2 linked regions of the Schizosaccharomyces pombe genome follow. The gene in region 2 interacts genetically with the main gene of each other region. Each region holds a gene or a part of one and is shown on either strand. Other genes may lie near its edges.

Evidence for each region.
Region 1: mutations in sut1 (region 2) and par2 together harm fitness more than expected from each alone (negative genetic interaction), as found in Schizosaccharomyces pombe (one large-scale study listed by BioGRID).

The regions. Positions count from the first base shown.
Region 1 is NC_003424.3:1,333,769-1,337,526, reverse strand, and holds the start of par2 (serine/threonine protein phosphatase PP2A regulatory subunit B-56 Par2), read right to left. Parts: upstream 2,025-3,758; 5' UTR 1,600-2,024; coding exon 1,207-1,599; intron 1,139-1,206; coding exon 895-1,138; intron 823-894; coding exon 626-822; intron 576-625; coding exon 181-575; intron 126-180; coding exon 1-125. Other genes in the region: transcription factor TFIIIC subunit Sfc1, read left to right, coding at 2,384-2,497, 2,606-3,758. UniProt on the Schizosaccharomyces pombe protein: The B regulatory subunit might modulate substrate selectivity and catalytic activity, and might also direct the localization of the catalytic enzyme to a particular subcellular compartment. Has a role in cell shape control and septum formation.
Region 2 is NC_003424.3:3,933,472-3,937,229, forward strand, and holds the start of sut1 (plasma membrane sucrose/maltose:proton symporter Sut1), read left to right. Parts: upstream 1-1,889; 5' UTR 1,890-2,010; intron 2,011-2,056; coding exon of another isoform or gene 2,057-2,362; 5' UTR 2,363-2,581; coding exon 2,582-3,059; exon of another isoform or gene 3,060-3,125; coding exon 3,126-3,758. Other genes in the region: karyopherin/importin beta family nuclear import signal receptor Kap104, read right to left, coding at 1-367, 490-597; SPOM_SPAC2F3.07C (uncharacterized protein), read right to left, coding at 2,057-2,362.

The sequences.
Region 1 (3,758 bases), 2.6 Mb from region 2:
CAATGCAATACGTAAGTTGGGGATGGTATAAAAAAACAGATTTAGTTTGATGTAAAGGAATAAGCACTTTGGACAAAAATATTTTATGTTCTTCTTTTAAAGGTACAGCAAATCCATTAATAATACTAATAAGTTAGTTTGTAAATCAATTTAGGAACTATAACCATTAATGAAACATACCTTCCAAGTATCTCCAGTAGTTCAGCGATTCCATGAAATTTTTCTCGTTCATAAATGAATTGCAAAAAAACATTATTCATAGACTTTCTAATGTATGACCTAAGGTTCAGAAATTTTCCGTAAATCCTATGTAATGTTGTTTTCAGAAGTTCGCGCTCACGCGGGTCTTCTGTGTCAAATAGTGCTAGCAAGCGATTAAAAAACCTACGATCAACGAGCGATTTTGCTTTACTGGCTCTAAAGTCAGGAGATTCTAGGAACTTAATAAATAATAAATACACCTCTTCCAAGTGAGGCCACGCTGGCTCCAAAAAAGGCTCATCGTCTAAAGCAAACATATCTGATGAATAATCATTAAGAGCAGGTGATATAGGCCGAAATACATTGAGGGAAAACTATAGTGATTAGATTTTTACAGTAATAAAAAGCAGAGGAGTAAACATACTGTATTGACAACATAAGGAAAAAGCGATGCGGAAGAAATACCGCGGTTTTCAGACACATAATCTATCATTTGTAATAAGGCTTCTCTTTTTATTTCTTTGCTAGCCAAATCGGAAGATGGATCATTAAAATCGAAAATAATATTGCATTGTTCAAGCTTCTTTATAAACAGTTCTTCACGTTCAGAGGTATGAACATCTAATTATATTAGCACAAGAATAAAAAAAAGTACATTATTAAAATAAGATATAAGAATCTTACTAAACGTACCATCAAATGAAGGCAACCGAACTAATGTTCTTTTCTCAGATACTTGAAATTGAGAGGAGTGTTCGCGTCGAGGTACTGGTCTAAGACTATGCGGAATGTCAACATTCTCAGCACCTGCTAAAAATTTATTTAAGGGAGTTGGCTGTGAAACTAAATAAGGAGGAGTGGATTGTGGGACAGATAAAAATGAGGCAGAAGATATGGAATCATTAGGAAATTCGTCTATGTTAGACGATACAGAATCCTACAAGTAAGTTAGTATGAAAATAATCATTTTGGTAGAAAATATTAAACTAACCGACGTATACTTACATTTTTTGGTTCTGGATAATTAGGTGGGAAATGGTTGGCGTCTTTAACTTTAGAAGTTTCAATTACGGGCAAAAACGTAGAGTAATCAGAATCCTCATGTCCAGATGCTAGAACCGTCGTATGTATTTTTTTATCAGAATTTTCATGTTTTTCATTATTTGAGTTGGCATGATGATTTCGTTTGTGCTTTAAAGTATCTTTTAGGAAATGACTCTTAAGTTTTTTAAGCTCGTGTTTTGAAGAATGGTGAGTGTCTGTGTGCTTCACGTCGTCAGTTTCCACGTAAGACCCATTTTTAGAGATATAGTGGCTTTTTGAATGACCATTTTTATGTGACCCTTGTTCATCCTTCAACGAAAGTGCTTTTACAAATTTACTCCTTAATCCTTTCATTAAAAGGCAAATGAGATGATTTCCTTGCTCAATTGCAAGTTATAAAGATAGCGAATAACCAAATTTAAAAAACGAATGATTCCTAGGATTGGGACCGAATGTAATTTCGAAACTTAAATGAATGCACCTATTACTGAATATGTAAACGTTGTCTTTCTTCAAAAGAACGTCTGTTAATAAATTTGTACACAATGATGAGTTAGAAAAGGGTAAATTTATGTGGTGGGTAAATAAATGATTTGTTCCTTTCAAGTACTCCGTAAATATGTCTCGGCAAGTCAAAGAGTTAACGGCAACAACCTCGGTAACAGAATTCTGAGCCCCTTTATAAGATGGGTATATAAGCTAAACACCCTAGGGAATAGTTAAGAGGGTTAACCTTGAAACTTCCTGTAATGACAACTTTACTATGAGTTATGTTTGGCAAATGAAGCAAAACGGGGCGAGTGGCTCGAATGTTATGGGACGCTACCGAAGGCTGGTAGTATGAAATAACGTACTTGGGAAATTGGCTGGTACTGTGAATTAACGGATCGGCAAAAATCTTGTGTTATGATGTTACTGTATTGTTGTACGATGTCCGAGGTTTGGAACAACATTATTTTAGCTGCCAAAAAATTAAAATGCTTTTGAAGCAATGATATTGATGTGTATCAATTAATTTTTCATTTGAGGAATAAGTTATCCAGATTATTAATTAAATTACTTTAAAAGCAAATATATATAAAGTCTTTGCCCTACTTTTTCCAGTGTTTTATAGCATACCATATTAGGCATATATCTTATGAATAGTCTAAAAATTTCTGACAATGAATATGCACTCATTGAGCATCCGGGCTTTGCTAATAACAAGGATGCATTTTTTCAGACATTAGGCGGTGTTCAATCAATTCAAAAGGTAAATTGCTAAAAAAGTATAGGAATGACCGGCTTACATCTTTAAGCTTCCCCTTTTATAAAACATGAATTTGATAATCTTTTTTGACCTAATACTAACAATTTCTAGGCATGTCAAACTTCATTTCAAAACCCAAAACAAGCTCTGTTGGAGTTGAATCTAAGGCCTAAAGATAAATACCATCATCCAGTACAAGCTCGAGTGCAATCCAGAAATGACCTATTAGTAACGATTAAAAAAATGGACAACTCTGTGCAAAATGTCAGTAGAATTCGTCAAGTTTTCTTATTCAGAGATATGGCTGATTTCCAGTATAGTACTCAAAATTCACCATTCGTTCAAAAATTAGATTCCACTCTGCGAGTGCTTGACTATAACGCCATTAATAAGTTTTCCATCGATCTAACTCCGGTACAAAGAAAACATGTCGACATGCCTCCTCCTCCTGTTTTCTCTCAGACAAGTCTACCCATGTCTTATAACTTCTTGCAAAATCCACTAGTAGGTCGAGTTCGGCTACCTAATGGGAAAACTACAATAGTCAATCTAAAAGGTCAATGCAGAGTTTGGATTATCACTACAAATATGGGGGTTGAAAGTGTACCTACATGTAGACACTCAAAATTAGGTGAGCCTTCGAAGACAATTCAGGAAGTTATAGAAGCTTTAAAACCTCTTTTTGAAAAACGACCCGTTTGGACGAGAAGAGCCTTATTAAATCATCTAGACCCGTCATATACTCACTATTTGAAATTTGCTCTTCCTTACCTTTCTTATTTATGGACTTCAGGTCCATTTAGAGATACATATACGCGGTTTGGATACGATCCTAGAAAAGATTCTAATGCAGCTGCTTACCAAGCTTTGTTCTTTAAACTCAAGCTAAATGGAAAACATAAAGGGACTAAAACTCACGTGTTTGATGGCAAGACTTTGTTTCCCACTAATCGTGTTTATCAAGTGTGCGATATCGTAGATCCCACAATTGCACCACTACTGAAAGATACTCAGTTACGTTCTGAATGTCATCGGGACACAGGATGGTATAGAAGCGGTCGTTACTATAAGGTTAGAGATCTTATGCGTGAAAAACTCTTTGCGCTGATCGAAGGAGAAATGCCTTCTGAAGTCGCGGTGAATATGATTTTAAACGCCGAAGAGGTAGAGGAATCTGACAGATATTCGAATTTTGATGAACAGGATAATACAGATTTAAATGATACTGTTAGAGGTTTGAATACTTCAGCAACAGATGATCGGA
Region 2 (3,758 bases):
ATATTTTAGTTAAGGCGCTGAATGCTCCTTCTTGAGTGGTAGAAGCAGGGCTAGAAAGCATTTCCATTAATTGTGGCAATACTTCAGGCCAAGTACTAATTCCCCAACGACTAATGATTGTAGTGATCACATTACCAGATATGCCTCGAATGAGTTGTTCAGGGTCACACAAACCGCGAATAACTGTTGACTTTGTGTAATCGAGGCTCTGCAAACCTGAACCAGACTCTAAGCTTGAAACACGAACATTGTTCTTCAACAAAAGACCAGCAGCAGATCTAATTGAAACACTAAGCTCCGTAGCGTTGATGAGAATGCAAGTAAGGTAATTATTTAGATCTGGTATATCCTTTGCTTTCTCAAGCAACTATAATAAAGTTAGTTATGCCATTTGATTTCTTCTTCACACGTCGTTACACACGTGAAGTAAAAAGAAGCATCTTCTACAACGAGAAAGAAACTTTTAATTTTAGAAAAAAAAAATCTTACATTTAAAGCAGCATTCCTAGTCTGAGAGTTTTCGGAGAGTGAATTCTTTATCACTTCTGAAAGTTCTACGAGGACTTGTTCCTGGAGAACCCAAGGATTGTCCCCCATCTTACTCTGTACTTACTGTAAGAAGTTGTTGGTAGTAGTTCTCTGATGAGTGTGGGGAAGGCAGGTAGTACCATTCCAAGCAATTCCAAGATTTACATTTACCAGAGTGGTATGCTATGATTCGTTAAAAAATAAATGGATTCCAGTATTTGTTTTCACATTTAAACATGTATTGACAGGATTTTTCTACCAAGTAAAAAGTTCATATTGCAAATTTCCCGTAGACGCATCTCAACACTCACAGCACAGTATAATGATCTCATGTATTAAATAAATTAATTTACAGAATAAAAAAAAAAGAATTTTAGCACGTAGCTCCCCTATATCACTTTAAATTTGTTGATTTTTCTTCAAAAAATTTACGAAAAGTCCATTGGGTTGCATGTTACCTGCTGACGAAGAGAATAGCACTGTCTATGGAAAACCATGCAATGTTATTTAGGAATTTAGGGGCGGATTGATATTGTTTTGAATACTAAAAAAGAATTATATTTAAGCTCCATGTTATTCAAGAGAAGTATTTGAGCGACAAGCCATGCGCGGATAACACCATTGAGTTTAAATTACTATTGCTCGAACGTGGCAATATTTTAACTTCTCCAATTTATGTTCAGGCCCAATAAACACGTGCAAAGAAAGCTATTGAGTAGCATAGACAATTATCTAGGTCAATCATAAATATGTCTAACTCTGTACATTAACCATAAGAAGAATTATTCATCGTTATAAGGAATGGCTGCGTTCTCCTTATTTTTTTACAATATTTATGTATATACTTAATCACGTTAATATAGCTTACGAGTATACTGATTGCAACATTGTGTTTCGCTAAATATATATCGTTTCGCTACGAACTGCTCTTTAGTTTTCAAGGATGCAATAAAATACCGTAAAAGTTCTCCATTTTACCGGAATATTGCTGTATTCAGAATGCGCCCCTGGAGATGTTTATTGATATGTATACATATTCTTATAATAATATTGGAAGTGCGATAGCTACTAGTAAATTGATGAGTGCAGTTTAAATTTGATAATATTCTATATAGTTTTAATGATTAAATTAAGATTCAAATATACTAATCATCATTAGGACTTAACGGCATCTATTTATACGATATTTCAAAAAGATAAAAAGCATTTGACTTATACAGGAATGCAGTGTGCCGCGGTGTAATGTCCTATAGTGCAGAATCACAGTGTAACGTCAACATGACATTTACGCGGAGCTGGGCTGATGGAGTCGCTCCTCTAAACCAAGCATATTAAAAGGTGTAGTAATTTGAAAGGATTCATAAGAATTCATACTTTTAAAAGGTACTTTATTAGTAAGGAATTATTTAATTATTTATTATTATTTCTTATTCCTTGCTTATTGCTTTAAATTGAAGCTTTTTGCTTATTGACGATTTCAAAGTAAGTACACGATGCTTTGTTCTATGTTCATTTTAATCGCTTTTGTTCAACTAACCTGTATCTGCAGACATTCATAACATTTTCTTACGTATCCTTTCTTTTTGTGACTCGTCGTTGAACTTTCAATCGGATTCTTTAGTTTTCTGCTTTTCTGCGAACTTAATCTACAAATTGCCATTTGAAACTTTCGAGCATCACTGGGATTGGTATCGTTGTGAAAAATTATATGTCTAATACTTTCAAACATTGCTAAAATCAATATAATAATTCTTGAAATCCCCGAAATTAGAAGGATTTTTATCACATATTCGATTATACTTCTATCATTTGAATTATTCTCTCTGACTAACATTTAAAACATTGTGGCCTGTTGTATGCTATCAAGGATCAGATACATTCATTGCAAGTTAGACAGCGATCAATTATTTTGAAAAATTAAAAAATCATTTCTCTCAATCATAATTGAATCCCCCTGAACTTTGTTGTAGGAACAGATATCTCTTACCAAAGAAGTTCCACCAAACGTTCCTCTCATTTCTCTTTTGCTTTTAAAGCTTAGTTTCATTAAAATATGTCTGTAGATGAAAATCAATTGGAGAATGGACAACTTCTATCCTCCGAAAATGAGGCATCATCACCTTTTAAAGAGTCTATCCCTTCTCGCTCTTCCCTCTACTTAATAGCTCTTACAGTTTCACTTTTGGGAGTTCAATTGACTTGGTCGGTTGAACTTGGTTATGGTACACCGTATTTATTCTCACTTGGTCTTCGTAAAGAATGGACTTCAATTATATGGATTGCCGGTCCTTTGACTGGAATATTAATTCAGCCAATTGCTGGTATATTGTCCGACCGGGTTAATTCAAGAATAGGTCGGCGGAGACCGTTCATGCTCTGTGCTAGTTTGTTAGGAACATTCAGCTTATTCCTTATGGGCTGGGCCCCTGATATTTGCCTCTTTATATTTAGCAATGAGGTTCTAATGAAACGTGTTACTATCGTTTTGGCTACGATTAGCATTTATTTGCTTGACGTGGCCGTCAATGTCGGTATGTGAATTTAGGGATTTAGTTTTCAGAGTAGTAGTTCATACAAATGACTAACTTTATAACTAGTAATGGCTAGCACTCGATCTTTAATTGTTGATTCAGTCCGTTCAGATCAACAGCATGAAGCAAATTCCTGGGCTGGAAGAATGATAGGTGTAGGCAATGTGCTTGGGTACTTACTAGGCTATTTACCTCTATATCGCATCTTCTCCTTTCTCAATTTCACACAGTTACAGGTGTTTTGCGTACTTGCCTCCATTTCCTTGGTACTCACAGTTACCATCACAACAATATTTGTGAGTGAAAGGAGATTCCCACCAGTTGAACACGAGAAATCGGTTGCTGGAGAAATCTTTGAATTTTTTACAACTATGCGACAAAGTATTACCGCACTTCCATTTACATTAAAAAGAATTTGTTTTGTTCAATTTTTTGCATACTTTGGATGGTTTCCATTTTTGTTTTATATTACTACCTATGTGGGTATTTTATATTTACGCCATGCTCCTAAAGGCCATGAAGAAGATTGGGACATGGCGACTCGTCAAGGGTCGTTCGCATTACTGCTTTTTGCTATCATTTCTCTTGCCGCAAATACAGCACTTCCATTGTTGCTCGAGGACACGGAGGATGATGAGGAGGACGAATCGAGTGATGCATCTAATAATGAATACAACATTCAAGAAAGAAACGATCTCG